Linked DNA regions of Caenorhabditis elegans. The protein of the gene in region 1 purifies or fractionates together with the protein of each later gene. This does not show direct contact. Each region holds a gene or a part of one and is shown in the gene's direction. Other genes may lie near its edges. The genes, in order: clec-137, acox-3, srh-56 and Y54G11A.9.

Evidence for each region.
Region 2: the proteins of clec-137 (region 1) and acox-3 fractionate together in Caenorhabditis elegans (co-fractionation; one large-scale study listed by BioGRID). This does not show direct contact.
Region 3: the proteins of clec-137 (region 1) and srh-56 fractionate together in Caenorhabditis elegans (co-fractionation; one large-scale study listed by BioGRID). This does not show direct contact.
Region 4: the proteins of clec-137 (region 1) and Y54G11A.9 fractionate together in Caenorhabditis elegans (co-fractionation; one large-scale study listed by BioGRID). This does not show direct contact.

The regions. Positions count from the first base shown.
Region 1 is NC_003280.10:4,613,898-4,621,186, reverse strand, and holds clec-137 (C-type LECtin), read left to right. Parts: upstream 1-3,096; coding exon 3,097-3,264; intron 3,265-3,316; coding exon 3,317-3,428; intron 3,429-3,483; coding exon 3,484-3,742; intron 3,743-3,793; coding exon 3,794-3,968; 3' UTR 3,969-4,035; downstream 4,036-7,289. Other genes in the region: clec-139 (C-type lectin domain-containing protein), read left to right, coding at 503-621, 667-773, 818-898, 950-1,025; clec-138 (C-type LECtin), read left to right, coding at 1,387-1,521, 1,570-1,681, 1,771-2,026, 2,085-2,259; clec-136 (C-type lectin domain-containing protein), read left to right, coding at 4,654-4,782, 4,837-4,948, 5,006-5,264, 5,321-5,510.
Region 2 is NC_003282.8:6,243,444-6,252,794, reverse strand, and holds acox-3 (Acyl-coenzyme A oxidase acox-3), read left to right. Parts: upstream 1-4,302; 5' UTR 4,303-4,315; coding exon 4,316-4,414; intron 4,415-4,458; coding exon 4,459-4,590; intron 4,591-4,636; coding exon 4,637-4,804; intron 4,805-4,964; coding exon 4,965-5,106; intron 5,107-5,158; coding exon 5,159-5,480; intron 5,481-5,641; exon of another isoform or gene 5,642-5,662; intron 5,663-5,791; exon of another isoform or gene 5,792-5,813; intron 5,814-5,957; coding exon 5,958-6,058; intron 6,059-6,105; coding exon 6,106-6,202; intron 6,203-6,250; coding exon 6,251-6,424; intron 6,425-6,526; coding exon 6,527-6,641; intron 6,642-6,691; coding exon 6,692-7,233; intron 7,234-7,284; coding exon 7,285-7,396; 3' UTR 7,397-7,437; downstream 7,438-9,351. Other genes in the region: F58F9.1 (uncharacterized protein), read right to left, coding at 735-970, 1,017-1,119. UniProt on the Caenorhabditis elegans protein: Involved in the first step of peroxisomal beta-oxidation by catalyzing the desaturation of fatty acid-derived side chains of ascaroside pheromones, which regulates development and behavior.
Region 3 is NC_003283.11:2,767,700-2,775,635, forward strand, and holds srh-56 (Serpentine Receptor, class H), read left to right. Parts: upstream 1-4,160; coding exon 4,161-4,506; intron 4,507-4,567; coding exon 4,568-4,758; intron 4,759-5,081; coding exon 5,082-5,312; intron 5,313-5,490; coding exon 5,491-5,569; intron 5,570-5,632; coding exon 5,633-5,820; downstream 5,821-7,936. Other genes in the region: dhs-15 (DeHydrogenases, Short chain), read right to left, coding at 720-1,091, 1,232-1,325, 1,372-1,472, 1,517-1,749, 2,018-2,054; srj-18 (Serpentine Receptor, class J), read left to right, coding at 6,643-6,831, 6,877-6,936, 7,219-7,530, 7,571-7,672, 7,719-7,894.
Region 4 is NC_003280.10:14,342,036-14,349,575, reverse strand, and holds Y54G11A.9 (Core domain-containing protein), read left to right. Parts: upstream 1-3,838; 5' UTR 3,839-3,850; coding exon 3,851-3,964; intron 3,965-4,277; coding exon 4,278-4,430; intron 4,431-4,732; coding exon 4,733-4,870; 3' UTR 4,871-5,031; downstream 5,032-7,540. Other genes in the region: Y54G11A.17 (L51_S25_CI-B8 domain-containing protein), read left to right, coding at 170-334, 381-590; Protein lin-7 homolog, read left to right, coding at 784-984, 1,503-1,660, 1,720-1,795, 2,220-2,414; ddl-3 (TPR_REGION domain-containing protein), read left to right, coding at 5,132-5,295, 5,742-5,874, 5,923-6,281, 6,327-6,504, 6,836-6,921.

The DNA.
Region 1 (7,289 bases):
GGTTTCGGTTGTGACGAAAATTTTTTTGTAGACATGCTGTTTTTCTACGTGGAATTTTTTCTAAATTTTACTGAAACTAAATACTTCAAATGACAAAAAAAGAAGACAGTAAGTAGGCCTGTAGGCAGACAAGTAGAATAGGGCCTACCCGCCCTTCTCGTCTCTTATTAAAAATACGATCGGCGTGATGCCATTTTACAAATTCTCGCAAGCTGAACAAACACCTGGAGGCAGCGATTAGCATTCGTACTATTTTGGAAAGCGAATTTTCTGGTTTTTTGAAAAATTTGGAAAATGTGAAAAAATAGAGCCGGCGGCTAAAACTTTTCTGAAAGTTATGTATTTACTAACATGCTTAAAGCCAATCACTGTTATCATTTATCAAACAAATTATGTAAATGCAACGTCATTGTTATTGAATGTAAATGCTAAAAGGCACAACAAAGCCGACAGAAACTGACAAACAACTTTTAGGCAAGTTAAAACTGAACACAAATTTCAGCTTTAATTCGAAAAAACAATAAACGAGTCGCAGTGGACGGAGTGTTCAATCCAAAATGCCGAGGTTTCAGCGACTGGCGAATGAGAAAGTTTGGAGGACTTTGCGCAAAAGAAAAAGAGGTTTTTGTTTCGAAAAGTGTGTTTCAAGTATCCCGATCGTTTTAGCTATTTATTCTGGAGGACGATCACACCGATCCAGCGTTCATTCTCACAAAGTGGTCTGGAGAACCGCCAACTTCATCAGACAAGTATCAGGAGAAGGGGGACTCTACGTAAGGAACCCAGTGGGATAAAAGCTTCATGTTCTAGTTTTCAGAGAAATTTTCACAATCGCTGAATGTCTATCTCTACATAATCTCCAGGCAATCAAGAATACTGGAAATTTGAAGGATTTTTTGTGAGTTTTTTTTTTGCAGGATTTTCAAACCCAAAACTAAAAAAATTTCAGGTGCGGCGAAGAACCAGACAAACAAGTCGGCGAGGTGCCATTCTTCGGAGTTCTGTGTGGATGTGCTCCAGTATAAAATTATTTAACTAGTGCCAAATGTATAAACAATTTTTGAATTTTTTGAAGATTTTTCAGAGAAATCTGTCCTCGAGGCACAATATAAATTGTTCTTACAATGTATGCCTAGTTTGAAAATGTATATCATGACTCGATTTTTTTTGTGTTATAAAAAATTTTCCCTCTAGAAAAAGTTGAAAAATAGGTAGAAAAATAAAATGCGTCATTTCCGCCCAGCCCCCGAGATACCGTATCATTTTGATGTATTCGGGGAATAATGGTTCCGCAGAAACGGAATCATTGAAGGGATGTACAGCTTTTTTATAGCTTTTGACTAGTACAAAAGCATACTGAAAGCTTCTTCTTGAACTCTTCATAACATGTTAGTTTTATTCTTACTATTCTTGGTTGTTCCGGCGGTTTCTGCAAAGGATCCAAGATGCCCAAAAAACTTTACTTTTGTCAAAAGAACACTAACTTTTAAGAATAATTTTACAAAGGGGTGGTGCTTGGGGGTACGTTATTGATAGAGACAGTACCCAGTTTTAAAATACACTTTCAAGATTTTCAATGGAACGGATGTGGGAAATCGTGACCGAGCCCGCTCAGTCTGTCTCTATCATAACGCTTCGCTGAGCAATCCAGAAAATTCACATGAACTTGAGATTGTTTCTGGTAAGTTGATCATGTTTTTTTTTAAAGACATGTCTTCAATTCAAAATCGCTAGGAAAAATATGCTTCTAAATGTGTAATTAATTTTTAGACGTTATTCGCGCACGGAACATTTCCCTCCCGATTGCACTCGACGGACAACTCTCTCCAAGATGCAAGGCCCTTATTTTCAGAGGCGAACAGAGCCAACAATATTTTGACCAAAGAACAGAGGAAGGAGATTGCAATATTAACAATCATTTGTTTGTATATGATGATATCAATACAGATACTTTATTTATCCGTTCCAAACTAGGTACTTCGGCTGGAACTAATGGAGGATACTCCAGTCAGGAGGACGGAGTAAAGTAAGTGTATGAAAATTTCTAGATTCAACGTCAAACAAGTCTAGAATTCAATTTACAGATTTCGTTTCACCAGAGATTGTAACGCATTAACAGATGCATACTATTACTTTTCTAATGGAACACATTTCTATGCGGTAGATGGACGAACTGAATTGCTCGGATGCTTTGGGGAAAAGGATAAGCAAAATAAACACGAATATAGTAGTGTTCTTTGTGGAAGATTCCCTCTCTGAGTTAATTGATCAGAAAAGACAGTTGTTAATAAATATTTTGGAGTTGTTGTTCGAATTCATCACTTGTGATTATATCAGAAAATACCAATTTTGCAACAAACATCAGTCGAGGATATGCATAATTTTCATAATAAGTATTTTTTGATAGCTAAAGATTGGAGCTAATCATATTTCAAAATTTACAGAGACAGGACTATTTTAAAAGTAAACTACCCTGTAACAAATCAAGAGTTTCGAAGCTTGAAATCAAAAAAAAACTTATTCTTGTAAATCATTTTATATTCTACCTCGGAAGCCGACAAAAGCTTGGTTTTAAAAAATCTAGCTTCAAAGTCTTGTTTTCAACCACAAATGTTTGTGTACATAAATTTTTGGATAGGTATCATAACAAGCAAGAGGGCCTTATGTTAGTCATAGGCTTGCACTCAGTTGCTCAATTTTGACGGCTAATAACTAGGTTGTGTTTTGTTTTACCAAAAATTATAAGCTGACAAAGAATGTGTTACAAATTTCTCTACAGTTTTGGTGTTAAATGTTTTTGATAAAAGGGCTGAAAATGAGGGTACTTTTGTTAGAATCTTTATTAGATCAGATATTTTTTTGTTTCAAAGCGCATGGTTTCAATATTCTTGACAACTTCTATCAACCTACGTGTTATATAAGAATTTCTTTGAATGAAATCATCCAACCTGATGAAGAAATATAATGCGTCGTTTCCGCTATCCAGCCCCGAGATACAGTATCATTTTGATGTATTCGGGGAATAATGGCTCCGCAGAATCGGAAACGCTACAGGGGGCGAACAACTGTTTTATAGCTTTTGACTAGTACAAAAGCATGCTGAAAGCCTTCTATGAAGTTCAGTATAAAATGTTAGTTCTATTCCTACTATTTTTGGCAGTCCCAGAATTTTCTGCGAAGGATCCAAGATGCCCGGGAAACTTTACGTATTTCAAGAGAACACCGACGGCAAAAAATAACTTTACAAAGGGATGGTGCTTGGGGGTAAGTTGTTCATATCAATGACACCTAAATAGTTTTAAAATGATATTTCAAGATTTTCAATGAAACGGATCTGGGAAATCGCGACCGAGCCCGTTCAGTATGTATCTATTACAATGCGTCGTTGAGTATTCCAGAAAATTCACACGAACTCGAAGTGATTTCTAGTAAGTTTTTGAGGATTTTTTTATTGCTGCATGCGGAAAAATGTAAAATTTCCAGAGACTGCTAGCTTGAGAAACATTTCCGTACCAATCGCTCTTGATGGACAACTCTCTCCAAGATGCAAATTCGCAATTTACAAAGGACAAGTAAAGGGTGCAAAACGATTTAATCAAACTTCTGAAGAAGGAATTTGCAATATTAAATATGAATTGTTCATATATGATGATATTAATACGGATACTTCATTCATTCGCACAAAGCTAGGTGTTTCGGCAGGATCAAACGTAAGAAGTGTACAAGCTGATGATGATATCGAGTAAGTTTTGAAAATCGACTTTCCTATTTGCATCCAACATTTCATTTTCAGGTATCGCAGTACAGCAGATTGTACCGTTTTGGAAAAAGGATCGTATCACTATTCTAATGGAACACTAAAAGATGGGCACACTAATTTGATGGATTGTATGGGACAGCTAGCTGGCTCCAAGAGGCTACCAGAAAAAAATGTCACCGCCGTTCTTTGTGGCCGATTGCCGTTCTAAGTAAATGTATTCTATCATTTCTGGAAAGATTAATTTTCAATATTTAATAAATATTATATTTCCGAAATCTTTCTGATATTTCTTATTACCTTAGCTGATTGAAAAGATAAGGTACACCCAATTTGTTTCCGCAAGTGAACTTCAGGTTATTCTTAGGCGACGAAAATCCCTGTGCGGGTTTACAATTAAATCATTTTCGCAACGAAACATTTCCTTTTACAGAGTTTTGACAAGTGTGTATACCATTTTTGTAAACTAAAAGTCAATTAATTCATCTTAACTTTCGTCTCGAACTTTTCGTTTTTAAGTTCCATCTTGTTGATAATACGGCCTAAAAATTGTAAAAAATTTCTCAAAGCTTCCTATTTTCTGTGTCAAGAAAAATCGGAGAGCTCTACATTATCTCTTTTTTGGCTTCCGGAAAACTTTTAGAGTAAATTTATAATGTATAATTTATGATAAACCTCAAGAAAATAGGTACAACAAGCATCTGCTACGTCCAAATCAAAATGTTTAGAAGAATAAATACTACGGTAGAGCATTTTGTGGGTGTTGTTGAACATCACGCTTTTGTTGAAACGATCAAATGCTGTCGGAAAATAATGGCTCCGCATGGCTTAGTCACAATTTTATCGATTTCAATAGGTACAAAACCCCGCCGAAACTTTTCAAAACTGACAGAAAAATGTTCGTTTTCTTTTTGCTATTTTTGACTGCGGTTTTCGCAAAGGATCCACAATGCCCAGAAGGGTTTTCTCATGTCAAGAGAGTCCCAACTGCAAGGAACAATCATACAAAGGACTGGTGTTTGGGCGTAAGTTCCAAGTTTTGGGTTTTGTGTTCATAATGCTTTATGACCATATTTCAGGTTTTCCAATTCAAGAACATGGGAAACCGAGACCGAGCTCGATCATTTTGCAGTTATGTGAACGCTTCATTGACCATTCCAGAAAATGAGCACGAGATTCAAGTGTTTTCTGGTAGGGATATTTTTCAATAAAAACATTTTCAGTGTTGTAATCTTCAAAAACTTTCAGAAATCGCCCGAGCTCATGGAATTGAAGCTCCTTATGCTGTTGACGGTCAAATTTCTCCAAAATGCAACGGTCGTATTAATAAAGTCGAAATCATACTTCGTCATCGATTCAACAGTACAGAAGAAAAAGGAGATTGTAATATCAAGAATAATCTATTTTTGTTCGATGATGTCAATAGTGACACTACATTCATGCTGAGCCATTACAAACGTCGACTTCCAGCTGCTTATATGGTTCATCAAGCTGACAATGGTCCAATGTAAATTAGACATAATTATCAAATAGCGTGAAATCATAAAAAATCAAATATTACAGATTCCGATTCGCCGCTGATTGCATTGTTCTAAAATCTGGAATTGTCAAGGCTAATGGCACAGAAACAAGAAAGAATTGGGGAAGTTTGGAGTTTTGTGTGGGAAAAAATGCAGTGCAGGCTTATACAGACGATGAAAAACCATATGGAAACGACGTGGAAGCAGTTTTGTGTGGAAGACATCCACTTTAATTGTTTTGAGAAACTTATAAGAAATGTGGGTCCTAGAAATGTGATGCACCTTGTCTTTAGTTTTGATTGAAAATTGTCAGCTGAAAAAATAAATTTCAATTTTTTCTATAGTTTTGTAACTTAGTATTAAAAAAATAACATTGAAATTCCCTACAAAACAGTGAAAACTGTAAAAAACAAAAGCGAATAAAAAAAATCTCGAGTCTCGTTTCCCCCATTATACATAAGTACATCAATCCCTATCCTTTCCAACATAGAAAAAAAACACGACACGGTCTATATGATGCGAATATTCGGTAATACGCGATTTAGAGATGATGGAGGAAATAGATGGGACTGGATTTTTTGTCAATTTTTTTTTACAGTGATGATGATTAACTTTTTATGGTTGGGAGGTTTTTCACTGTATTATACATATATATGAATGGTTAAGCAGGAAATGGGGGTTAAAGTAAGTGTGAAAGGAGAAGCCTAGTGACATCAGCAACAGAAGATGCCTGCCGGTGTGCCTTCAAGGCAATCTAGGCCTACCTCGTGCCAACAAACTCCTGAAGTAGGCCAGACAGGTTCGAGGTATGTATGTAGGTAAGCACACATGCCTGGAGCTTAATGAAAACTTTATGGCAAGAAAATGATCTAAACACATGCCAAAATACACTAAACCCCAAAAAAACGGGAACTTTCGAGAGGCCCAGCTGAGAGTTTAACACATTTTGTTGAAAGTAATGTGGGTTTTATAGGAAATCTCTAGCGATCAAACACTCCGAAAACTTTTGAGTTTCATGCATCTTTTTGTGACGTACTGGAAGATTTGAAAAAATTGGAAAAATCAACTGGCAATAAGACGTTTAGAAAAGATGATTGGCAAAAAATGAAACTGAACATTCAAGTGACCAAAATTTGCCAAAAAAAGGAAAAGGAAACATTAATTTATAATTGAAAGATACTTAATCTAATAAACACACGAAACCATAACGATCGTATGAATCACTGGTTTCGAGTGAAGAGAGAGAACACTTGTAGTTTTCAATTCAAGTGAGGTGTCGAGAGTATTGACACATTTATATGCACTTATTCTCATGTTTTTCAAATGGTTTGAAATGCTCACTTCCTCATGTGAAGGGTTTATTAAAGTTCTTGGAAGTTGTGAAAATTAATTGTAAGTAAAAAACTCCGAATTTGTGCGCGCACTTGAAAATTACGTTTTAATTCGGATTTAGGATTTTTGCAACTATGATTTTTTTCAACTGCTCAAAAATTTAATTTTGTTTTTGAAATTTCCAAATTTCTTGGAAACTTTTTAGGACACCGATGTCTTTTCAATCAATACAAATATGAAAAAAAAAAAAAAATCGCATGATCGAAGAGCGGATCGAAACGAAAATTGTTTTGTGTATGAGGGGATGAATGGGGGAAAATACAGAAAACCGAAACGAATTGAATAGAAAAAAATGAGTGGAAAGGGCTAGAGGACGACGGTCAGGATTATTCGTCATTCAAATGTGTGTGGAAGAGTAGATGATGGTCACCACCACTAGTCGTCAACTACAATTAGTCCCCCTCTCTCAATCTACTGGAAAAGAACGAGAAAATGAACACTTTTTGGGTGGGTTATAAGTGGTGTTGGTGTGTTGATTGGTTGGAAAAATGGATTTGATGGGTTCCAGTTATTTTACTGGACATTTACTGTGACTAATACTTAATACATTTTAGCGCGGATACAGTTAGTTGGTATTGAAAACGAAAAGGGCGGAACTCGTTATAGAGAAACGGAAACTG
Region 2 (9,351 bases), on another chromosome or scaffold:
CCTTCGTCTCTGTAAATTGAAAGTTGAGAAAAAGCAATTTGGGTGAAGCAAAAACCTTGAGATCAGCTCGTTTGAATGAGTCAGCCCGGGGAGCAAACCGCGCTTTTTCAGCCAAAAAATTGCAGCAAACGAAGAACTGAAAAATATTCCTTCAACAGCAGCAACGGCGGCCAAGCGCTCGGAAAACGGGGCATTGTGATCAGAAATCCATCGAAGACACCAATCGGCTTTTGCCTTGATAAATTTAAAAGTTGTTATTGCGTTGAATAAAATATTGCGCTCGGCGTCGTCTCTAATATAAGCCTCCAACAATTTTGCATACATCTCGCTATGGATGTTCTCGACTGCGATCTGGAATCCATAAAAAAATCGGGCCTCTGTGACTTGAACTTCGGTCGAGAAACGGGAGCACTGAAAGTTTACCAAAATGTCATGTGTGTAACAGAATACACCTACCAAATTTTCAGTAACGATCCCATCAGAAGCGGCAAAAAATGCCAAAATAGACGAAATAAACTGTCTCTCATCACTAGTCAATATTTCCCAATGGCTCATATCCTTTCCCAAATCAACTTCCTCGCTAGTCCAGAAACAGGCAACGGCCTTTTTGTAAAATTCCCAAATATCGCGGTGAACAATCGGGTGGACAACAAATCGGTTATTGTTAGGCGCCAACAACGGTTCGAGAAAAGTGTCTATTAAACAAAATTCAATACAACAATTTTATTGGAAAATCATTTGAAATTACGAAAAATGCAAGGTTCGCACAAGGTTAAACTTAACAATGGTGAATTAAAATTGGCACGTTTCAAACATGTGGTGCACAATTGAATAGAGACGAAATCGTTCAACACTTTGCGTTTGGTGCATTTCTTGCGTGGTTTTCTTGATTTTTCAACCGTATTGGAAAACTGACCGGCATTTTCATTTTGTGTAGTCAATTCTGGTGTCACAGTGGGCTCCACAGAGTCTGCAAAAAGAATAGGTTTTTAAACGTTACACACGTGAAAAATTACCAGTTGCTGGTGGGGACGGTGTTAATTGAGACCAGTGATAGCGACCGTACAAGTCCGGTTGCGGGACCACGGCGGGGCGGGGGTCCGAATACAGAGGATTCATTGCGCGCACCACTCCCGATCGTGACAAAAATCTAAAATGACAGGCAGTTTGTAAATGCGGTGCACATAAGGGAAAATTGTGGCTATTCGAAAAGACAACTGAAAAGTGGAGGAGGCAGGCTATACAAGAAAGTGTGTATGTTTCCAGAAATGCAACCCTTTTCGTGTATGCACTCTTTTTTAAACTTCGAGGTAGTGGTCTTGTTTGTTTCTGCCTGTGTGTGTGTGTGTGTGTGTGTGTGTGTGTGTGTGTGTGTGTGTGTGTGATGAGCTCCATAACAACTTATAGCACGTTTTATATTCACGCTTGATTGGTACTGAAAGCCAAAACATCTTTTCACGCCTGAATGGTACGGAACGCAACAATAACGGTAATGAGGAAAACATGCCAAATACGAAGAATCTAATTATAATTAAACTATAGTGTCGACAATCGGATTTCTCATAAAATCAAGTGAGAAAATTTGGTCAAATTCTGCATATACTATGCAGTAAAGACCGCCGACGGGAACCTTTTCTCGGAAATTTAAACGAATGCTGACGTTTGTCTGTCGCACCAACTCAAATAGTGAAGTGTCCTGAGCAACGGGACTCAATTCAAAACCAAAAATCGTATATCCGCCTTCTTTAAACATTTGGGTGCTAATAGAATTACATGTGGAATTGCTTCGCGAGTGACCGAGGGTTTCTTGAAGTTGAATGTATGCCTCCATAAACTTGTTTCTGTCAAAATCTAAGGCAAAAGGGCGGCCGGGGAGTGTCATTCCACAATAATCAACATGTATATCAGATATACCATGTGGTTTGAAATTGAATGGTGATTTATCATAAGAGCCATTGTACGCGTCAGAATCAACAAGACCAATGAAAATTCGACGGGGCATCTTGCTTGTGAAGAGTGTGTTAGCCGGCGCGTCAAGACGTCCAGACTCTATATAGAAACTGCGCACCTGTGAAGATATTAGAGGATATTGGATTATTTTGTGCTCAATAATGGAGCTCTCTAGAGCATTAGATAGACCGTCGGCAAGATCGAATTCGTTAACCAGAGCGTAAACGTCGGTTATTTTGAACTGAAACTCTGTGTTGTTGTCGCGATTGTAAACCTCAATCAAAAATTTACTATCATTTGGGTAAACTGTAAGTTTCACATTACAACCGTTCAAGAGCACTCGCGGCTGATTCATCAAGTCAATCGAAATGTTTGCCGCAACTTGTATTTCGTCCTGGTTGTAAATTGAGGCACAACGCTGTTGAAACCCAGGACTACGGTGGTCGCCAATCACAGGGTCATGATAGAAACCGGCCGCGGTTAGAGTGGAGTTTTGAATTTCCTTCCCGTACATTAAAACGTGTTCAAAATAGCTCTTGTACGCATAGTTTGACGAGTTGTGAAAAGCTAATTGTGAATTAATGTGTAGTGTGAAATTTCAGATCGACTAGTTTTCCGGTCACAACTCGGATCCCCGTTTTCAATGCACAACTTTACGATCCACACATTTCAACGTTTTATACACTAATTAATGCCAGAAACTTATTCGCAACATTGGCACACATGAAGCAATAATTAATAGGCACACACGGTTTTCAGTGAAATTCCTCAATTATTCTAAAACGGGGGACCAACCGAGAAATTTGCAAAAATGCGCAACTTTAAGTCTTTTGCACAACTATTCCCACTATACTACTAACTTACTCTAATTGCTTGATGTTTAAGCAATAAAATAACAGAAAAATAACATAGTATGATATATTGCATAAAAGAAGATAGGACCGCCACCAAGCAGTCGAAGAAGGCAGAATGAGTGATTTCTTCTTCAGAAAATGGGCGGGTTTGTGGCTTCTCTGACTCTCTCAAAAGCTCAGAATGTGTGACGTTAGAGCTAGAGATTATTGAAATGTAGGAGGTTTTGAGAGATTAGCAAAAAAGGAAAAAAGGATTAGAAATGTTTTCAAGCTCTTCTTTATGCCAAGATCATGAAACGAAAGACTTGTTTGAGAAGAGGGAAATAAGATTATGAAATTATGAAAAAAGATGGAAAATAAATAGTTTTAATTGTATTTCAATCATGCTTCAATTGGCCAACTCTTGTGTTCAAATTTAAATTAAACAAAAAAATTATTATGCTGTTTCACGAATACTATATGAACAGAGGCATTTTCTCTGTTTTGATATTGAAACTTCAGCTGAAAAAAAGATCTCGTAAAAACAGTCTTGATCATGAATTAAACTAATCTCTTCTTGTTAATGTTAGTAATGATAGAAAAATATTGCCTGAACTTTGTGGTTCCACTTATTTTAACTTATAAAATAGTGAAACGCATCTAGTAATTCGAAGAAAAAGCAAACTCTCTATTGAGGTTTTCAACAAAATCACAAAGTTGGCAATCACATTTTTTTCCAAATTCCACAAAATTGATGAGTAGGTTTTATCGGACACCTAATATAATTGCTCAAGTCAGAGCAAACCTATTATTATTATCAGTAATTTCAAGTTTTGGTAGTTCAGCCAAAATTGATTTCGGGAAAACTATGAAACCGCTAAAAATGTTTACATCAAAGTCTAAACTGCAAAAATGTTGGAAAATATTGTAAAAGTATGAAATATTGAAGTTAAAGTGCTAATAATTTTTAATTTAATTTTAATTTAATTTAATTTTTATTTTGACCAGTACGCTCCTGGAAATGTGTTACCCCCACTTTCGCCAAAACTGTATTTAGAAATTTTTTAGCGTATTTTTATTTAAAAACATGTTTTACACTTATGGAAATAATACTAAATTTTTTATTATCCACTACGTTGTTTTAAACTATTTACTTGTCCACATTCTCTCTCCGAGCCCACTTTAAAACAAGGAAACATGAATTTTCTGTAAAATTTCAGTTAATTTCCTCTGACCCTTTTTACAAACACCAGCTAATTACAATCTACTACGATAATTTTAAAAGACCATTCCTCCCCCTATTTATACAATACCACCACGCTGTAGTCAGACTGTCTTCGATCTCTGCGTCTCTCAATTACTTTCTATTTTCTTTGTTTTTGATAAGACTACACTCTTCCTACCCAGTACATATGCAATTGCTTTTGTCTTAATTTTGTTCAGTTTATTTTAACATATATTCTGCTGAAAATAAAATGAATCTTTTGAATTTAAAGGATTTATTTAGTAAATTTTTCAGTTTCAGATCAAAAATGAGTGCTCCTTTAATTGACAAATACCGGAAAATGGCAACTTTCGACTGGAAAAAATTGAAAGCAGCCGTTGAAGGAGAAGAACATGTTAGACTGAAGGTATAGTAGATTTTGGATTTATAAAATATTTATATATATTTCAGTCAGAAGTAGTTGCTAAAATGAAGTCAGAACCAGTATTTCACAGAGATTATCGAGTATTGAGTAGAGAAGAGCAAAGAGAAGTTGTTCATCAGAGATGGAAGAAAATTGTCGAATGGGGGTTGTTCAAAGATGTATTTCTTATTAAATTGTAGATTTTCAATATATTCGAATATTCAGCCGTACTCCGATCTTGAAAACTTCCATGCATTGACTGAAACTCTTGAAGCTTATGATCAAGGCACATCTGCAAGGCTTTTCCTCCACGGAAATGTTTTTGGAGCAGCTGTTAAGTCAATGGGAACAGATAGACATAAGGATTTGATTCAGAAAACTGAAAACAATGAGGTGAATTTCAAAGAAAATAGCATACAAAATTAAGAAGTACTCAAGAAAAAGAAAAATCAAAACAAATTTGAAAATAATTTATTCTAAAGAAATTTAAACAAAAGCGCATTGTATTCAAATCTGGAAAGTTTAGGTTTCCTTGCAAAATAGCAAATTTCAGATCGTCGGAGCATTTTGTCTGACAGAAGTAGGCCATGGTTCAAACACTGCTGAAATTCAAACAACAGCTACATTTGACAATGGAGAACTTGTTTTCAATACTCCAAGTGTCAGTGCAATCAAATGTTGGGCTGGAAATCTCGGTGGGTTTTAAAACATTTTTAATTTTAAATTTAAAAAAATCCATTTTTTTAGCTCACTCGGCCACTCACGTAGTTGTTTATGCTCAACTTCATGTCGAAGGAAAGAACGAGGGATTTCATGGATTTGTGATTCAAGTTCGTTGCCCTAGAACTTTCCAAACTCTACCAGGAATTACCATTGGAGACATGGGCTCGAAACCAGGATGCTGGCAGGGAGTAGAAAATGGCTGGATGGAGTTTAAGAACCATAGAGCTCCTCTGAGTGCACTTTTGAATAAGGGTTGTGATATTACTCCGGATGGAAAATATGTGACAAGTTTCAAATCTGCAAGTGAGAAGCAGAGTGTCAGTTTGGGAACATTGTCAGTTGGAAGGTATGTTTTCAATACTTTACGACGCCGGCCGTATAGAAAAATTTTTTAATTGAGTGAAATTTGTATCTAAAAGAATTTCTGTTAAAAAAATCAGGTTCTGAAGAATTTCTAGCCGCTGTTTTACCAACTTTTTAAATGTGTTGTTTTTTTCTCAGTTTTAGTAGATACAAGATGCAAATTTCACGGCCGAGCCTTATTATCAATAAAAGCAAAATCTCAAAACGAATCTATTCCAGCTTTAATCGATACTTTTAAAATATGAATTGATTTTCTAGAGTGAAGCCATTGTATTTAATACAAATAGAAATAATGGAAATGGCATTCTTAGGACAATTCGAAATTGTAAAAGCAGACGAATTCATAAAGTTGGGAAAACAGTGCAATCTATAAGTTTTTCCGATTGATTTTTTTCAAACAAAATACTGTTTCAAAATTCAAACTTTACCAACAATGGTTTCACAATAACACAAATTTCAGACTCGGAATTATCGCAAAAGGAATGATGGCTTGCACTTTTGCATCTACAATTGCTATTCGATACAGTGTTGCTCGGCGACAGTTTGGACCAGTAAAAGGCGGTGAGCACCATTCCTTTTCTCAATTTCTCAACTTTTGTATAATTCAGCTGAAAATGAGATCCCAGTTCTCGAGTATCCACTTCAACAGTATCGTCTATTCCCGTACCTATCCGCTGCAATTTGCATTAGAATATTCCAGAAGAAGTGGGAACTCTAAACAAATTGTTTTCAATAATTAGTTAAACTTTATAGGTTTGTCGGACATTTCACTGAATATATGATGAGAGTCATAATGGGAGAAAAGTCAGACGAGCTCTCCGAGTTCTCAAAAGAAGTACATGCATTGTCGTCTGGAGCTAAACCGGTTGCAACGTGGCTTGGTGTAGAATCCCTTGGAGAAGCTAGAAAAGCTTGTGGAGGTCATGGGTATGTTTCCTAACATAACCTGAAACTTAACTTTAAGAAACTCATTTTTTGAGAATTCGTCTTTCTATTTTTTCCAGATTAAAGTTAAAATTTAAATTACAGATACCTACAAATGTCACGATTGAACACCCTCCGAGATGACAACGATCCATCACAAACATTTGAAGGAGAAAACTTTATGATTTTGCAACAAACCAGCAATATTTTGCTAGGAAAAGTAAACTTAATTGTCAGATTCTTTAATCATATTGAGATTCTGATGTTCAGGCTCAATCAATTGGATCCATTGAGACCCCGATGTCTACTATGTCATTCTTGAATCAAAAACCTTCAAAGTTCTCATCATGGTCTTCGAATCCAGTTAATGACGTGTTGTCTGCGTACCGATATCTCACTTATCACTTACTTCAAACAACTTCGGCAGAAGCTTACAGACTAAAAGCATCTGGAAAGAATTCATTCGAAGTTCGAAATGAAATTCAAATTCATAGAGCTGTCAATTTGTCTGTTGCATACACAGAACATACAATGATCCATTGGGTTCAACAGTTCTTGAAAGAAATTGAAGATCAAAGTGTGAAGCCGGTTCTTCAAAAAGTTTTGAATCTTTTCTCACTTTTCCTTTTGGAAAGACATCTTGCAACTCTTTATATTACTGGATATGCTTCTGGTGGAAAGTTTGGAGAAGATCTTCGAGAGAAGCTTAGACTCGCTGTAGCCGAATTAAAACCCGAGGCCATTGCTTTAGTGGACTCGATTGCTCCAGATGATTTCATTTTACATTCAGCTCTGGGAGCATCTGATGGAAAGTCAGTTTTAAAATGTAAAGGTTTCTGCTGAACTTTAAATTTGATTTTCAGAGCGTACGAGCATATAATGGAAGAATTCCGGAAGTATACAAATGAACAACCAAGATGGGTTTGCGATTTGGCTCAGTTTTTGCAAAAGAGATCACAAGGATCCAAGCTATAATATTTCACAAACTGTATATTTCCCAATAAATCCAGTTTTTGAATAAATTCAAAATATACAAACAATTTCAAATTTCTTTGAAAGCTAAAATTTTTGCAAAAAATAAAAATCTAAACGTATAAGCAAAGTTTTCAGATTTATACATATCGTCGACGTGAAACGGCAAAATTTTTTAAATGTTTAATTGAAAAAATTTATTAAAACTTTGGTACCCGGATGTCAGGAAATGCTTAAAAGGCTTCTAACACTGGAAAATAGTTTCTCATTTAGAACCAAAACGATAATGTTGCGTTAGTTTAAATGAATTTATATGATTAATGTGAAACGGGGAAAATTTAAAATAGTGATAGCGCCCACGGGGAAAATGTTTAAAACTATTTATTAAGTGCCAAAAATCATTGTAGAACTTTCACAATGTATTTATAAAATAATATTTATATGAAATAACACCAAAATTTAATTTATTTCCACGCCAATTTCTAATTTTACTTTAAAAACTGTTCTCACAATATTATTGTATCAATGTTGTCGCGAAGTCGATGAATACAAAGATTAACTCGCTCACGACTTTTATTTTTAATTTCTATTCTCCACGTGATAAAGAATCCATTTCACATATCTGGAGAATTTATAAATTTATCAACTCTCATTAATTTGCTAATTGGCTTGAAAGGGTTGTGCATCAAAAAGGTCTTCCGTTTGAAATTCTTCGCACGATGACAAATAATTTCAAAAATACAATTTTCAAAACTTAAAGTTTTTCAGAACTCGTCCGTCTGATTCTCCAATGTCAACTTTGTATTGCGTGCGAATAACTTCAGGAAACTCTACAAAGGCTCAGAAAGGCTGTAAAAGCTCGAACACAACTGAAGCTCCGTATACCAATGTTGCGTGATTTCAAAAAAGTGTTATACCATCAATGGGAAACGGTAAAAAGTTTTTTTTAATTTGTAGGTGCAAAATGCTTTGAAAATTTTTTGTTTCGAGATTTTAAAAATAGAATAACACAAATTTTTATCAAATTTCAAACAATAATCATTTGATACCATCCGTTAATATAATCTCCATTGTAATCATATTTCCAGTATAAAGAACCCATTTCACATGTGAAACTGATTGAAAGTTTTTCTAACCCTGATTCAATTGATGTCATTGCTCTACACGGACAAGTTGTTGTAGATTCAGTATTATTTCCTGTACAATTACAACCAGCACTTTCTGATAAACATCTTCGCGTTCTAATCCACATTGTATCGCCATCATTTCTTCCGTAACTGGAAAAAGAGCTCCAAATTCCTCCAATTGGACAACAATTATATGTTGAGTTAGAAACAGATGCAGCAGTTTCAGCGGCTGTTGTTAGTGGTCCACATTGAGTTGTTCCGTTCAGAACCATTGAGACATATGGAATACAACAAGTACGTTGAGCTGGATATGAACATGGTTATGTGTTGCACGGATAGTAGCGAGTTGCATTTCCACTGAAAAGAAATATTCTGATGTACATAAATAATGGTAGGAAAGTTTTTTCATCCTTGATTTTTTGCATTTTCTACAAGAATTTTTGGAGTGGAATTTTTTTTGAAATTTCACAAGTTATAGAAAACTACTCAAATGAAGTGTTTTGCAAGGTATTTTTTTCAGGTTTGGTTACACATCGATGCTCAATAATTGGGGAGAAATTGTGTTCCACCCTTAATGATACTATTCCTGGTGAATGGCGTGAGCAAATCTAATTTTGGAAGTTTCCAAGCATATCATACCTGTCACAAGGACAACTTATTTCCTCTGAAACGCAGGATAAGTTTTAGCACAAGAACCACAACTCGCTGAGCATTCGACACCTTCTGCATCAGCCCATTCACTCCATAAACCACCAGTTGGACAAGTCACGTTGATGGAACATGTCTTCAATTTTTAATTATTAAAAACTAAAAAAAATCTTTAAAAAACTC
Region 3 (7,936 bases), on another chromosome or scaffold:
TAATTTTGTCGTCTGTACCTGTGGGCGGCAAATCATTTTTTCCGGCAAATCGGAAAATTGCCGGAATTGAAAATTTTGCCGCAAATCGGCAAATTGTGGTTTTGCACATTTTTTTTTGGAAATTTCAGAATTTTAATTTCAATCGGAAAAATTGCGTGCATCCTGTTCGTACATCTTTTGAAAAGTAAGAAAATTCGATGAAAATATCGAAAGGAAACGGAAAAAAATTTCAAAAAGGCCAAGTGTTTCCGTCTTAAAAAATCCCTCTGAACATTTCCGGCAAATCTGACAAATCAGCAAATCGGCAAACCAGTAATTTGCCGGAATTAAAAATTTCTAGCAAATCGGCAAACCGGCACTTTGTCAATTTGCCGAATTCGCCGAACGACATTAGGCGCTCAGCCCCCCCCCCCCCCCTCAGAGGAATATTAATATTTTCCAGAAAAAAAATGTGTTGGCGCGAAATTCAAATTTTAACAGAATACAGTTTGGTAGAAAATTCAAATTGTCCGAAAACAATTTTGCAAGAAAAACATTAAATATTTAAAAAAAGAACTAGAACTTTCTATACGATTTCGGACACATCCATATTTTAAATTTTCTGCCAAAATACTTTTCTCTGAAAAAAAGCGCCTTTCCTTATGCGACGCACCATTCTGAATTAAGGTAGTCTGTATTTATTCCCAAATCAAAAAAAAAAGGAAAATATGAACAAAAATTTAAGCCAAAGCTTTCGACAAATCATGACTTGGCATTCCCAAAACCAAAGTGGTCCCTCCATCAATCACAATGGATTGTCCAATGATATAAGCACTCGATTTCCGATCAGCCAAAAACGCGATAAGTGATGCGATTTCTTCAGGTTTTCCAGTACGGCCAGCCGGAATACAATCTCGGTGAGTGGAGTAGTACTCCTCCGTCTTTTTCACCACATCATCTCCCATACCTACAGCGCCCAGGAAGTTGGTTGATATGAGTCCAGGGCTCACGGAGTTGACACGAACATCGAAGGGAATCAGCTCCAAGGCTAAGCTCCTGGTGAGCTGGTCCAGGCCGGCCTTGCAGATTCCGTAGTAAGTGTAGTAGATGTACTGAAAAAATGATGTTACTGTAAGTTGTAGAGGAGTTGTTTCAGACGACTGTATCGAATTTTTAGATAAAATATCGTGTTGCCTGTTATTAGCCCTCTGCCGCCCGTTTTTTGGCCCGCTTTTGGCCCGCTTTTACTCACCGGTTGTGGACCAGCAGCAATTGAAGAAACATTAACGATTTCCCCTTTGCTAGCGATTAAGTGCGGACGACACTTTTTGACAAGCTCCACAACACTAAAATAAGTTACAATTAAAAAAATCCCCTGTAAATAAAATATACCTTCTCAAGTTCAACTTCATCATATCATCAAAAATGCCAATCGCCGCCTCGGAGCCAATTTTTCCAGATGGGTCAGCAAACGCCGCTCCAGCATTGTTAATCTGAATGGAACAGTCAAAAATTTTAAAAAGTCGAGAAATCTCACCAAAATATCGATTTTACCAAATCTGCTCAAAGTGCTCTTGATGAGCTCATCTTGACATTCGCTCTCATTCAAGTCGCCGAGAACAATGTTGATGTTGTCACTGGAGCCACCGTTTTTATGAATCTCATTCACAGTTTCCTGGATTTTTTCCGAGCTTCTTCCGGTTACCGTAACCTTAGCTCCCTCCTGAGCAAGGAGGACTGCCGTGGAGCGACCAATTCCGGAAGATGAGCCTGAACGTTATACTTTGAGAGACTTTATCTCCAAATTGGTCTGCCAAAACATAAAAAAAAGAGATTTTCAAAAGCTTAACTCAACTACAGTAATCCTACAGTAATCCTACAGTAACCCTAAAGTACCATTACAGTATTTCAACGCTACTCTAGTTAAACTTAATAAATTCCAAACAAATATGTTCCCCCAATTGAACAGACTATTTTACAAAATGACTGAAGGTACTGGATGAAAAATTTCACTACATTTTCTAAAAAAAACCCTTACCTGTAATTATTGCAACTTTATCAGAGAATCTACCCATTTTTGACAAGTACTAGATTTTGGTCACTAAAAGTGAATCTCAAAAATTTATATACTGCCGCGCACGCCCGCAATGTAATTTGTTCGTTCAAGTGTTGAAAATGGGAGGATCGCCAGACTGTGAGGTCGCGTGCCGATTAGGGTATCTCTCGATAAACAAATTAATACAGATTAAACTTTTTTTCGGTTTTGTGAGAGATGAACTTTGACCATGTAGACAAATGCTAGTTTTTGAGTTTTTTTTTCGGTTAAACTAAAATATCTAAGGCTCAATGTCCTCGCAGATTTTTGGACTCAAACTATGAGTTGCAAGATTTAATTAGCGGCTATAAAGTTTTGTGCTAAATTGTGTGCAAATGTTATTTTAGTGGAATTCGATTTATGACTCGCAAACACCAAATGGAAGGTAAATCTAAAAAATGTAAATTCTTTCATTTTGGCGCCAGAAAACTTTCGTACAAAAAATGTAGGAACACTGCAGAAAAATAATTTTTTATCCAGACAGTGGTTTTCTTAAAAAAAAACTTCGTACCTATAATTAAATTCTGATACCTCAAAAATTGAAAAATCGACCACACAACAGCTTCAGGACCCCTGAGGTTTTCAAAAACTTTACAAAAATTTACCATACTTTTAAAATAAGTATCAGATTGTTTAAATATTCAAATAACATTTAATTATGTAATTTGATGAAGAAGAAGTTTTTCTCTGAAAGATTCCTGGTCACGAAACATTTACAATTAACCATAAATCAAAAATTCAAGTCAGAAAAGTACTTGAACACGACCTTCTGGAGAAACGATTTCTGAGAAATAAGGAAATTGGGAAACTTGTGTACCCCGATTGATCAAATTAGCAGGTTTGTGGAAATGTATTACATCAACGATCAAATGTTTATCGGCGTGAAACAACTACCGCGCGGCTCATTTTATTGAACTTTTTGGCGAGTTCAGTCACATTTTGAAAGCTTTTACTTCTGAGTTTCATAAGTATGTAGTTTTTTGGAATATAACTAAATCTATTGGTTTCCAAAAAAATCTACTTAGATTTGGTAGAAAGTTCAATTTTTCTAGATTTGTTAGGTCGTCACTAAGTTTGCAAAAATAGCATAAATTTATGACATTTTCGAAGTTTGTTTGCATTTTTCTCGCTTCGGCAGCTAAGAAGCCACAGACAAAACACAGCAGGATACCTGATTTCTACTGCGGTGTAGTAGATTTCTGGTCAAATTAGAAGTCGAACAAATTATGAGGATCTACTTTTTTCAAACAACTATTCGAACTGAATCCGCTGAGTTTCTTCTAGCAATTCCTACAATTGTTTTTTTTGACATGTACCCCAAACCTTTGATTTTCAATTTTGACTTCATCTTCAGCACCGACTACTCTTAGTCCTTTCTTAGCCCGATAATTTGGATCAAACGTTACTTTTAGGTGGATAAGAAGCTCAATTTTTTTGAATAGGCCCTTGTTTGAATAGAATTAAAACCAAGTTTTTGTCCAATTGATAAATTTCCAGCTGTTGAACCTAGGATTCTGAAATGTTGAAATAAAAAGGTTTCTGTAAAAATTGAAGAACTAATTGTAAAGATTTTTCTGGTAAAGCCTCTATTCCGGACAAAAAATCAGGAAAGATGTGGGGTCCCATTTACTTTCCAATTAACCCGGGAAATGTCCGCTGCAAGACATCAGTTTTTTACACTTTTTTGCCGTATTGTTTTGCATCGCCAACCTAGATGATCATTTGATCTGTCACAAAACACATTTCCCTTTTTAAATGTCCCTAATCACTAACACAGCATTTAGCATTACATCGAAACTCCAAGTCAGAGCCTCCTAGAAAAATAAATTTCCGAGAAAAAAAAATTGAAAACTCCGCACCTCAAATTATCAAATTAGCAGGATTACGGTGGTATTACATCAACGATCAAGAATTTTTCGGCGCGTCCAACTCTACCGCGCGGATCATTTTACATGCAAATGGGGCTTTGAACTTTTAGGCTCTGGTTTTCTGGCTTTTTAAGGAATTTTTCTTGTAACGCTTAGCTTGTGAACACTTTCGGAATTCCTATCGAAACCTATTATATTAAACATCTTCCAGGAAACCAATGGCATGGCCAGACAACAACACCTCAAACTGCCGGGAAACCTACTCCTATTTTGGCTCGGCAGACTATCTGCGCAATGCATATCATTTCACAGCACTTTTAACAGTTCCTCTATCCATATTCACATTTTACACAGTTATAACAAAGACGCCAAAGCGGATGAAAAATATGAAAATCCCACTTTTAATATCCCTGGCTTGGAGCACAAATCTCGATTTGATGTTCACAGTGTACTCGGGGCCGTATATATTTTTTCCGAGTGCCTCCGGAGTACCCCTTGGGCTTCTAGGATATTTGGGAGTAGGTGTCAAGTGGCAGTCGTATTGGGGACAGGTTTCCGTCACTAGTAAGTTTTAGGATCTTTTAGGAAATTTAAATATAAATTTCAAATACCACATGTTTTTCAGTGATGGGTGTCTGTTTTATAATGCTCTATGAAAATCAACATAGTCAAATTTCCACGATTCGATTCAAAATCAAACGGAGAAAAACTCGTTTAACATATTTCGCATTAAACTATTTATTCACATTTGTTGTTATGCTTCCATTTTATCTAGACGACACTGACCAATTGAAAATGAGACAGAAGGTCTTGGAGGTTAGTAAAATGTACTAAAATGCCCATTCAGAGATATTAGAAATGTTCAAAAAATTTTATAAAATTTTATATTTAAAGTCAAAAATGTGAAAACTCTCAGTTTTCACATATCCTAATTTTGGAAGTCGACCAAAAGATTTTTTTTGAATTAATTGCGTTCTTATTAATAATATTGAAACATTCTAGGAGTTCAGATCTGCGGGAATTTTCAATTTTTTTCAAAAATGTCAATTTTTGAATAACTAAAAACTTTTGAAGTGTTTATTATATTTTTCGGTCGTGTGTATTTAACACCCGTCTTCAAATTCAACTTAATTTTACAGAGAATCCCCTGTCCGACGAGCGAATTCTGGGACCCAAAAACCTATGTACTGCTGCAGGGCGGAGAGGTCTTGCCATTCTGGTCAATCACAATTGGTTTTGGATTTGTTATTTTCCAAACTTTTTTCTTTTTGTTACACACCGTTTATCACCTCACACTAGTATCAAGTGCCAAAATATCGGCGGCGACGAAGAATCTTCAGCGAAAGTTTCTGAAGAATGTTTCTATTCAGGTGAGTATAACTATAACTGAAAATTAACTGGAATAGCCAAATGAAACTGCAAAAAAATGCAAAAAAAATTTAAATGGGTTTGTTTCAATTTTAAAAATTTAAAAATGTTTTTGACAAATTGAAAAACCACAAAATTTTTAAAATTTTAAACATTTAATTCTAGCATGTGTTTTTTTAGATCTCAATTCCATGGATTGCCATTGCATTTCCTGTGGCCTACACTATGTATGCAGACAAAATGAATTACTATAATCAAGGTGAGAAAGTGCAAATTATTTAAAAAAGCCAAAACATGGCTAACACGTTCCAAACTTTTGCAGCCTACAACAACAACGCTATGCTAATTATGGCAAATCACGGACTTCTATGCACCTGTTGCACCCTTTTTATTTACAAACCATACAGAGATTTCACTAAAAGTCTGATCCCTGGACAACGATTTTCACAACGGAGAATGACTATCATCGTGGAACCTGTGACGTCTCCACATGGAAGTGTGTCTAATTAGTTTTTTTTAAATTTTCGTTTTATTTGCCAAGCAAGATTTTTTTACAAATATTTAGTAAATATGTTTTTTTTGGACAAAACTTGACTATTTTCACTCGGGAAACAGATGCGCATCTTGCTAGTGAGAGCCATTTTGGCAATTTTGGCATATTCATCAATTTTGAAAAATTTTGGCAATTTCACGAATTTCAGCAATTTTGACAATTTATCCATATCGGCAAAGTTGTCAATTTTGGTAATTTCGATAACTCTAGGATTTCTGACAATTTTTTTCAATGTTCGCAAATTCAAACTTTTTGGCAGTTTTAAAATATTTGGGCAATTTGGACAAACTTAGAACTTTCACCAATTTCAGCAGTATCATGAATTTTGGCAATTTCGGAAGTTTTTTAACATTTTGGGCAGTCTTGGCAATTTAAGATTTTTGAAAATTTTCGGCATTTTTGAAAATTATGGCAATTCAGGTAACATTGCCGATTTCAGTAATTTCAACAATTTCGAAAAATTGTCAAAAATCGAAAAAAAAAATTTTCAAGTATCGAAGCGTGTGAAAAGTTTCTAGAGATTTCACTGACCTGCTACTTACTCACGCTTCACTGGAAATTTTCCGTGCTTGAGCTATGTCCTTGTTACATCATGTCATCGTGGGAACTAATAAGGTGTCTGTGAAAACTTGCCAAAAAATGAGACAACCTAGTATGTATAATGAGATTAATGTTAGGTACATTCTCTTTTGTTAGGCACGTATCAACACATTCTTCTCAGAACCAAAATTTTGTCATTTGACATATAAGCTGCTTTCGGTGAATATTCTACGCACTCCATGTTTATCAACTGGGCTCACTTTATCATTCCCAAAATAACGTTTATCTTGTCTTTCATAGCCAATCCTGTATTCGTATATCTGATACGTACGGAAAAAGTGATTCAATTCGGTGATTATCGCTATCTTTTATACTTTTTTGCAATTTTTAATCTTACTGCATCAGTTGTGGATATTTTGATACCAGCCGTAAGTTTTTCAATTTTTTAAATCCAAACTTTTCAATTTTTTCAGTGTGTTTATAGCTATCGTTATGCGGCTGTATTCTTCATTGTAGATAGTGTTTTTTCAGAGGTAATATCTTGAATGATAGAGATTCAAATTGCGAGTTCAAACAATATTATATTTACATAAATTGTTATCCGAATAATTAAAATCTACAACAAGTAATTAAAAAAAAAACTAAAACATTTCGACCGGTTTTGTTGAAAAAGGTTACAGTTTTTTTCAACAAAAAACAAACATTTCCAAAAAAAATTTGTATTGTGTGATTAATCTTTTTGAAGCACAACTACGAGCCTTTAAAATAGTTAAAATTGAATTGAGTTTTTTCGAATACTTTTTTCCTTTTTTCAGCGTTCCAACTTTGCCCCTACCTTAATATCCTTGCGATGTGCGTTTATTGCTGGAACCTATGGAATCCTCAACATTCATTTCATTTTTCGCTATAATGTCCTGAAAAATACAAGTTTTGTTAGTCATTATTTCATGCCATACGGTCTGATATTATCGATTTTTCTTGTGATATTCCATATCGGTCTATGGACGTTTGTAGTCGAGCCAACTATGTATTCGAGCGACGAATCAAGGAATTACGTGAGACAAGCTTTTCAAGAAGAATACGGCGTGGATGTGAACACAATTAGTACAAAAATTGCAGTATATGCGGTAAATGTCTCTGAAAATAAAATCGAAGCAATTCTTTTAGGAAGCCTCTTCAGGAATAGTTTTCCGAGCGTGGATAGGAACTGGAGTTGTGACAGTTATTGCTTCCTATTCTATGACTTTATATTTTGTCCTAGGTTATAAAGTGAGTTTCTAAAAATTTTAATTTGAAATTTTAAACTTTAATTCAGTTTCAGATAATGTCAGGTTTAAATCAAGGGTCGGCAACTATGAGTCTGAAAACTGCGCAAATGCAAAAACGACTATTCTGGGCATTAACTATTCAGACTATAATTCCGATTTGTGTCAGTTTTATGCCAGTAACACTGGTTCTTTATGGTTCTGCATTTTGCATAGACTTTCCCAAGTGAGACCAAAATCTATTTTTAAGAATTTCGGGAGTTGCTGA
Region 4 (7,540 bases), 9.7 Mb from region 1:
TCAATATTTTATCAATAAATTAAATGAGAAAATTGTTTAAATCGTTAAAAAGCATTAAATAATGCTGAAAAACGTTAATTTTCAATAAAATATCTTTCTAGTGATGCAATGCAACTCAAAATTATAATTTAACAATTAAAATTATCTAAATTCAAATTTAAATATTCAGATGGGCCTCAAGGGATTCACCGGTAGTTTTCAACAAATTCGCGGACTTCTACGACCACCAAAGAATCTCCCGTTCCGTGGAATTTTCCGGAAAGACGGAGAAGTTGTGCGAAAAGACGATTTGCTGGTGAATCAATTCAAAATGAATTATCATCCAGGGTTAAATGTAAGATTTATTATCAAATATCTTTGATTATTGAGAAGTTATTCAGGTTTACTATGAAAACGATCGCGGAGAACGTCTTCTGCGTGCCCATTGCGACGGAATCGTTCGTATCTCCCAGGAAAAATGCGATCCGGACTATGAAATTGAGGAGATGAAGGGATACGAGTATAGGAAAGACGTGGATTTGTACAAAATGACGTTCAATGTGATTCCGCTGGAATTGTCTCAGAAGCACACGCTGCGACATGAAATTTAAATTTAATTTTTTGTCGATTTTTTTTTTGGTTTTGTTGTGTTTAATAATTTTCTGACGGGCTATGGTCAATTAGAATAGTAAATAATGTTTTTCCGCTCTGGATAGCTTAATTTTGTAATTTTTAATTGGTTTTCTTGCCATTTTTACCTATTTCCGTCCTATTTTTCCCCTCCTTTCCAACCAAATCTTCCAGATGGATAACCCGGATGGTCCGAATTTGGAGCGGGACGTTCAGCGTATTCTAGAGCTCATGGAGCACGTTCAGAAGACTGGAGAGGTCAATAATGCAAAATTGGCATCGCTGCAGCAGGTGCTACAATCCGAATTTTTCGGTGCCGTCCGAGAGGTCTATGAGACTGTTTATGAATCAATTGATGCGGATACAACGCCAGAGGTTCAGTTTTTTTTGATAAAACTGACAAAAATGCCGGAATTGAAATTTCCGGCAAATCGGCATATTGCCGGAATTCAAATTCCTGGAAAATCGGCTTATTGTCGGAATTGATAATTCCGGCAAATTGGCAAACTGTCCGAATTAATACTTCCGCCATATCTGCAAATTGTGGTTTTGCACATTTTTTTTGGAATTTTCAAAATTTAAATTTTAAAAAATTCAAAAAGGCACAGTTTTAAGTGTTTCCGTATAATGAAAATCCCTACAAAAAATTCCGGAAAATCGGTAGTTCGGCGAAAATCAAAATTTTCGGCAAATCGGCAAATTGCCGGAAATGCAAATTATGGCAAATCGGCAATTTGCCGAATTTGGCAAAAAAAAAGCCGAGCGACAATTGCCGCCAACCTTGATAATTAAAAGTTGTCGAAATTTCAAATTGTAGTTTTTTTATTTTTCGAAATAATTTTGAGCCGTTTTTGAACAACAGAAAACAAAAAAAAACACTAAACATTTTTCAGATAAAAGCCGCCGCAACAGCTAAAGCAACAGTGGCGGCGTTTGCTGCAGCCGAAGGCCACGCGCATCCACGTATCGTTGAGCTCCCAAAAACCGATCAAGGGCTTGGATTCAATGTTATGGGCGGCAAGGAGCAAAATTCACCGATTTACATCTCCAGGTGCAGATATAAAAATATTTAATGATTTTATAATTTAAAAAAAACGATTTGAATTGCAGAATAATCCCTGGTGGCGTAGCCGACAGACACGGAGGTCTCAAACGAGGCGATCAACTTATTGCGGTCAACGGAGTGGTGGGTTAAATGTTTAATTCAATTTTTTTTTAGTTTTTTTCGGAAAAAAAACATCGAAAAATATTGATTTTTCAATGTTTTTCAATGAAAAAAAAATCTAAAAATTCATTTTTTTAAGCAAAAAACGAAACTTACTTTAATTTAAGTGTTTTTTTATCGAAGATTTCAGATTTTTAGTGTTTTTCAGAAAATAAACCGGAAAAAAGTAAAGGAACCAGTAATAAAAGACAGAATTTTTCGGTTTACGAAGATTTCCATATAAAAGAACATTATAAATTTTTCTTAATATTTTTTTTCGAAAAAATGAACAATTTATTCTCATTTTTTAAAATTGAAAACAACTACACTTTTAATTAGTAGAAGAATATAACTCGAATTAGAAAAAAAACTTTGATTCAAAAAAATAACTTTAAAAAAATTTCAGAACGTGGAAGCCGAATGCCACGAAAAAGCAGTTGATCTTCTGAAATCCGCAGTCGGAAGTGTAAAGCTAGTGATCCGTTATATGCCGAAACTCCTGGATGAAATGGAGCGGAGATTCGAAAGACAGAGAATTCGATCCACTCAGCAGAGTCCAACACTCCCGACGCCGTCTTCTTCGACAAATCCACGAAGATAAAAAAGACGGAACATTTGTAGAAATCAAGAATTCGAGAATTTTTGGAAAAAATACGAAAAAAGCCACAACAAAACTAAATGTTACGGGAACACTAAATTTCGAGAATGCGTACTGCGCAACATAATTGACGCGCAAAATATCTCGTAGCGAAAACTACAGTAACTCTTTAAAATATTACTGTAGCGCTTGTTTCGATTTACGGACATCATTTATTAATCGATGAAATATCGAAAGAAAACACAAAAAAAAGACAACAAAAAAACAAACAAAAAAATATATTTTTATTTTTTATACAAATTTGTGTTCGAATTGGTTTTTCGTTTTTTTTTTTGTTGTCTTTTTTATGTTTTCAAATGATGTCCGTAAATCGACACCAGCGCTACAGTAGTACTTTATAAAATTACTGTGGTTTTCTCTTCGAGATATTTTGCGCGTCAATTATGTTGTGCAATACGCATTCATGTGCTCCCGTAATATAGATAATGGACATTAAAACAATATTTCTAAAATTTTTGCATCAAAATGTTTTGAGGCCCCACGAAAAGGGGAGCAAAACGAAAAGGGGATCTGCAAAAAGGGGATCTGCAAAAAGGGGATCTGCGAAAAGGGGAGATACGAAAAGGGGAGCAACGAAAAGGGGAGCTGGCACTGTGCCAAACGCACAAAACGCAATTTTTCTCACGCAACGCACGTTGATTTTTGAAATTTTCTTCTAGAAGATACGCTTAACAACACGCGACGCGTAACATCGGAGCATCGTTGTATCGTTTTCTTCGAGAAAAATAGCGCTTGGCACAGTGCCAGATCCCCTTTTCGTTGCTCCCCTTTTCGTATCTCCCCTTTTCGCAGATCCCCTTTTTGCAGATCCCCTTTTCGTTCTGCTCCCCTTTTCGTGTGGCCTCAATGTTTTACTGCAAGAGTTCGCATTTTTCTGCAAACATTGATTAGTTTAGCCGAGAAAATAGAACTTTTGTAGCAATATTGAAAGATCTTTTCTTGAAACTGAAATTTTCGCTGAAAAGTTTGCATTTTCCACCATAAAATCCCTATTTTTTCTATTTTTTTCCAGTTCATGTATACTCATTTCTAACTTCTTCTCTTCTATTCTTTGTTCTAGATTTTTAGATATCCCTATATGTACATTATTATCTCTTTTTCCGTTTTCAGACAAATTTCCAAAACAATGTTAATCTCAACACTCACCCTCTCCCCAAATTATTGCCCAAAAATTGCTTTAATAATCTTGCTTTGCCTTACGTTCTTTCAAATAGGTGCTTTTCTCCATGTATCTTTAATAACTAAATTTTTAAAATAATTTTTTTTCATTTTTCGGCATTTTTAAAAAAATATTTTCCATGTTTCAAAAATCACGAAAATCTATCTTTTTGATGTAAAATTCAACTTTTTTCAGATTTTTTTTTCAGAATTTTCTCGAAATGCTCACACAAAAAATCGGCAGACTAATGGCTTGTACAGTAACCCGACAGGCTCATCGGATGCTCACCGAGCAAGAGATTAAAGTGACGAATAAGGCAGCGAGCAGGCTTAAAGTTAGTCTGTCCTTGGGCGCCCAATTTTTTTGAAAATTAGAAATATTGTAAATGGAAAAACGAGAAATTTCGATTTTCCAGTTTTTTTTTTCGGAAAAAAATCGGCACTTTCCTATTTTTCAAAGTTTTTCAAAGCATTTAATTTCCGGTGTTTTTTTTACAAAAAAATTGTATACTTTTGATTTGTAGTGCTTTTCAGAGAAACCCCGATTTTCAAAAAAGAAAGTTAAAAAATTTTGTGAATATTGTTCGAAAATTCAATTTTTTTCAATGACTAGAAAAAAACCTTAATTTAAAAAATTAATTCTTCAAGGAAGTCGTTGATAACGGAGAACGCCTACGACTTGAGGTGGATGGAGGTGGATGCTCGGGATTTGAGTATAAAATTCGATTGGACAAAAAAATTAACAACGACGATTTATTATGGAAATCATCAGAGAATGGAGCTGAAATTGTGGTGGATGAGGTGAAAACGTGTAAAAAATGTTAAAATTGATGAGAAAAATCGTAGCGAATATTCAAAAAAAATTTCTCACAAAAGTCAATTTTTTCGGTTTTTTTCTAAACTTTGCCGAAAAATTTTAAAATTAAAAACAACGGTTTAGAAAATTTCGCCCAAAAGGCAATTTTTTCGATTCAAAAAAAATTTTCTGAAAAATGTTAAAATAAGAAAAACAATTAAAAAAGTTTATTAGAAAAATCTATTTTCGTGTAACAAAAATTTAAAGCATTCAATTTTTCTGTGTTTTTAAAAATTGTAATTTTCAGCTCTCCCTTGGCTTTCTCAAAGGCGCCACCGTGGATTTCGTGGAAGATTTAATGAAATCTTCATTTCGAATTGTCAATAATCCGATTGCCGAAAAAGGATGCTCTTGTGGATCAAGTTTTGCGCCGAAAATGGATTAAATTTTCCCTTTGTCCCTGTATTTTTTCTGTAATTATTAATTTTATCTTTAGGAATTTTTTTCTAGTTATTATTTAGTGATTTTGTAGTAGTAGACAATTTTTTGAGATCGTTGTTTGAGTCGGGTTAAATTCGTAAATTATTAATAAGATTTTCAGATATTTTTTTTTGTTTTTTACAATTCCCTCCGGTTTCCCACCGTATTTTCTATTTAATAATGATTCACTTTATTCAAATGTCTCCTAAACCTGAAAAAAATGCAGATGCTGCCATCCATGTCCAAGTTATGTACGTCTACGGTCCGTCCTGTGGCGGCCGCCTTCTCCACCGGGACTACACGTCAGCATCATAGCTCGGGGCGGTCACGACAGCAGCATCATCGTCATGGGGGCAGCGGTGGAAAAACCAACGGTGGCGGGAGATGGTCGTGAGTTTTTTGGAAACAAATTTTTTTCAGATTCTTTTTTAAGCACACAAAATTCCGAGAATGCGTATCGCGCAACATATTCGACGTATTCGACACAAAATATCTCGTAGGGAAAAATACAGCAATTTTTTTAAATGACTACTGCAGCGCTTGTATCGATTTATGGGCTCGATTTTCGAAATTAATTTAAATCGTTTATTTATCGATAGAATATTGAAATTAAGCAAAATATGAGAAAATAATACGAAGAAACGAAGGAAATGGAATATAGCGAAAATTGAGCCCGAAAATCGACACAAGCGCTACAGTATACTATAGTCATTTAAAGAATTACTGTAATTTTCCCAACGAGATATTTTGCTCGGCAAATATGTTGTGTAATACGCATTCTACGCATACGTAAATAAATTAAATTGAGTTAAAAATTCTTAAGATCAATATTTCAGTAGATATGGAAAAAGTGCAGCGACCGGCGGAACTACAGTACTCGCTCTCTCATGGATGACAACTATCAAGGATGTGTTGGGCATTGAGAAGGTGCAGCTGGATGCTGATCCATTGAAAGAGAAGGTTAAACAGGTAATTGTACAGAAACATTTTCCTCGCGAGACCCTCCTCTTTTTCCAGTCTTGGCTTTACCGGAAACGACGCCAGTACGACGATGCAATTCAAGTACTACAACTGGCACTAGAGGAGGCTGAAGAGCGGAAAGAAGATATGCCAATCACACGAGTCTACGATGAAATGGCCAATACTTTTTACGAGAAAATGAATTTGGACGAAGCCGATAAATATTTTCGAATTGTAATTCAGCGCCTCGTTCAGCTTCACGGAAAAAAAGATTTTGACCCGGAGTTTATCGGAGTTTCTCTGAAACTTGCCGACATCTTGGCACATCGAGGTGATCTCGAAAGCGCGGAAAGTGGTTTCAAGCATTGTGTGAGAAGACAAATGAAGGTTATGGAAGAGCATATGAAAAAGTTTAGGTTTGTTGTATAAAGTATTTAAAAAAGTTTAGAAAAATGTTTCAGTGTTGCTCACGGAGCTCTTGTCGAAGACCGACACACTGTCGATACGTTTGGACCAATGTACACCGACCCGATTGCACTTTTTGGAATGACGTTAGAAGCGTACGCGAATTTTTTGATTAATTATTGCGGAGAGACCCGGATGGCAGAAGTTGAAGAATATATTGATGAAGTCATGAAGGTTTGTAGTCGACCCTGAACCTGAGCTGCTGTGCAGCACTGTTAACTGGAAACTTTGAAAATGTTTAAATACCGTACTGTAAAATTTTTTAAAAAATCGAAAAATTTCCATTTTCGATTTTCCGATATTTCGAATATTATTTCAATTTTCAACAATTAGCTTAAAATTTTGGCCATTGTGCTTCTTTTTGGTACCCCTTTTAATGTTTTTCCTCATCAATATAAACAAAATTTGATTTTAAAAAAAAATAATATTTTATGGTAAATTTACCGAAATTTTTTTTTGACTTTTAGTAAAGCCGAAAAATAGAAAAACAACACCCTTGATTCAGATATCGTATCAAATCTACGGAGCCAGCTCGGCACATACAATAAATATGCTCAATAACTTTGGAGCAACGTTAGTGCTCAAAAATCGGTAAGCTTTGCAAGAATAAAATGTTTTAATTAAAAATTAGAAAAATTAATGAATACTAAATATTAAAATTGAACATTTAAAACTTTTTTTGGTACTTGTGTATTATTAAAAATTAATTGTTTAAACTATGAAATAAAAACGTGTGGAATGCTTTTGTAGTTTTAGGCTTATATGGTGTTTTTTAATAGGAAAACATCATTCCTCAGCCTAAAATGGGTATCAGGTTTAATTAAAACCGATAAATTAATGGAAATTTAAGTGCGTATAGTTCAAAAGTACCCTTTCACACTGTCCTAGAACGGGGTTTACGTGGCAATCCCTCCCTCTTATCATTAGAGCTAAGTTTCATTTCGAACTGCAAAGTTCACGTTATCTGACTAAAATTTGAAAATCCAGTAGATTTCAAACATTTCACGTCAATTGTTTTAAATATAAATTTTATATTGCCAGTTTCAGGCTTTTTTATCGGCTGAAACAATTTTTTTTCTTCATTCGCAAATCCAACTTTCGTTGGTAACGGAAATTTGCACTGATAAATCACAAAAATTTCAAAAAAACGTCAAGAAATAAACGAGTTCTATTCTTTTTAGTGCGATAATTTTCATTTTTTTCGGGGCTT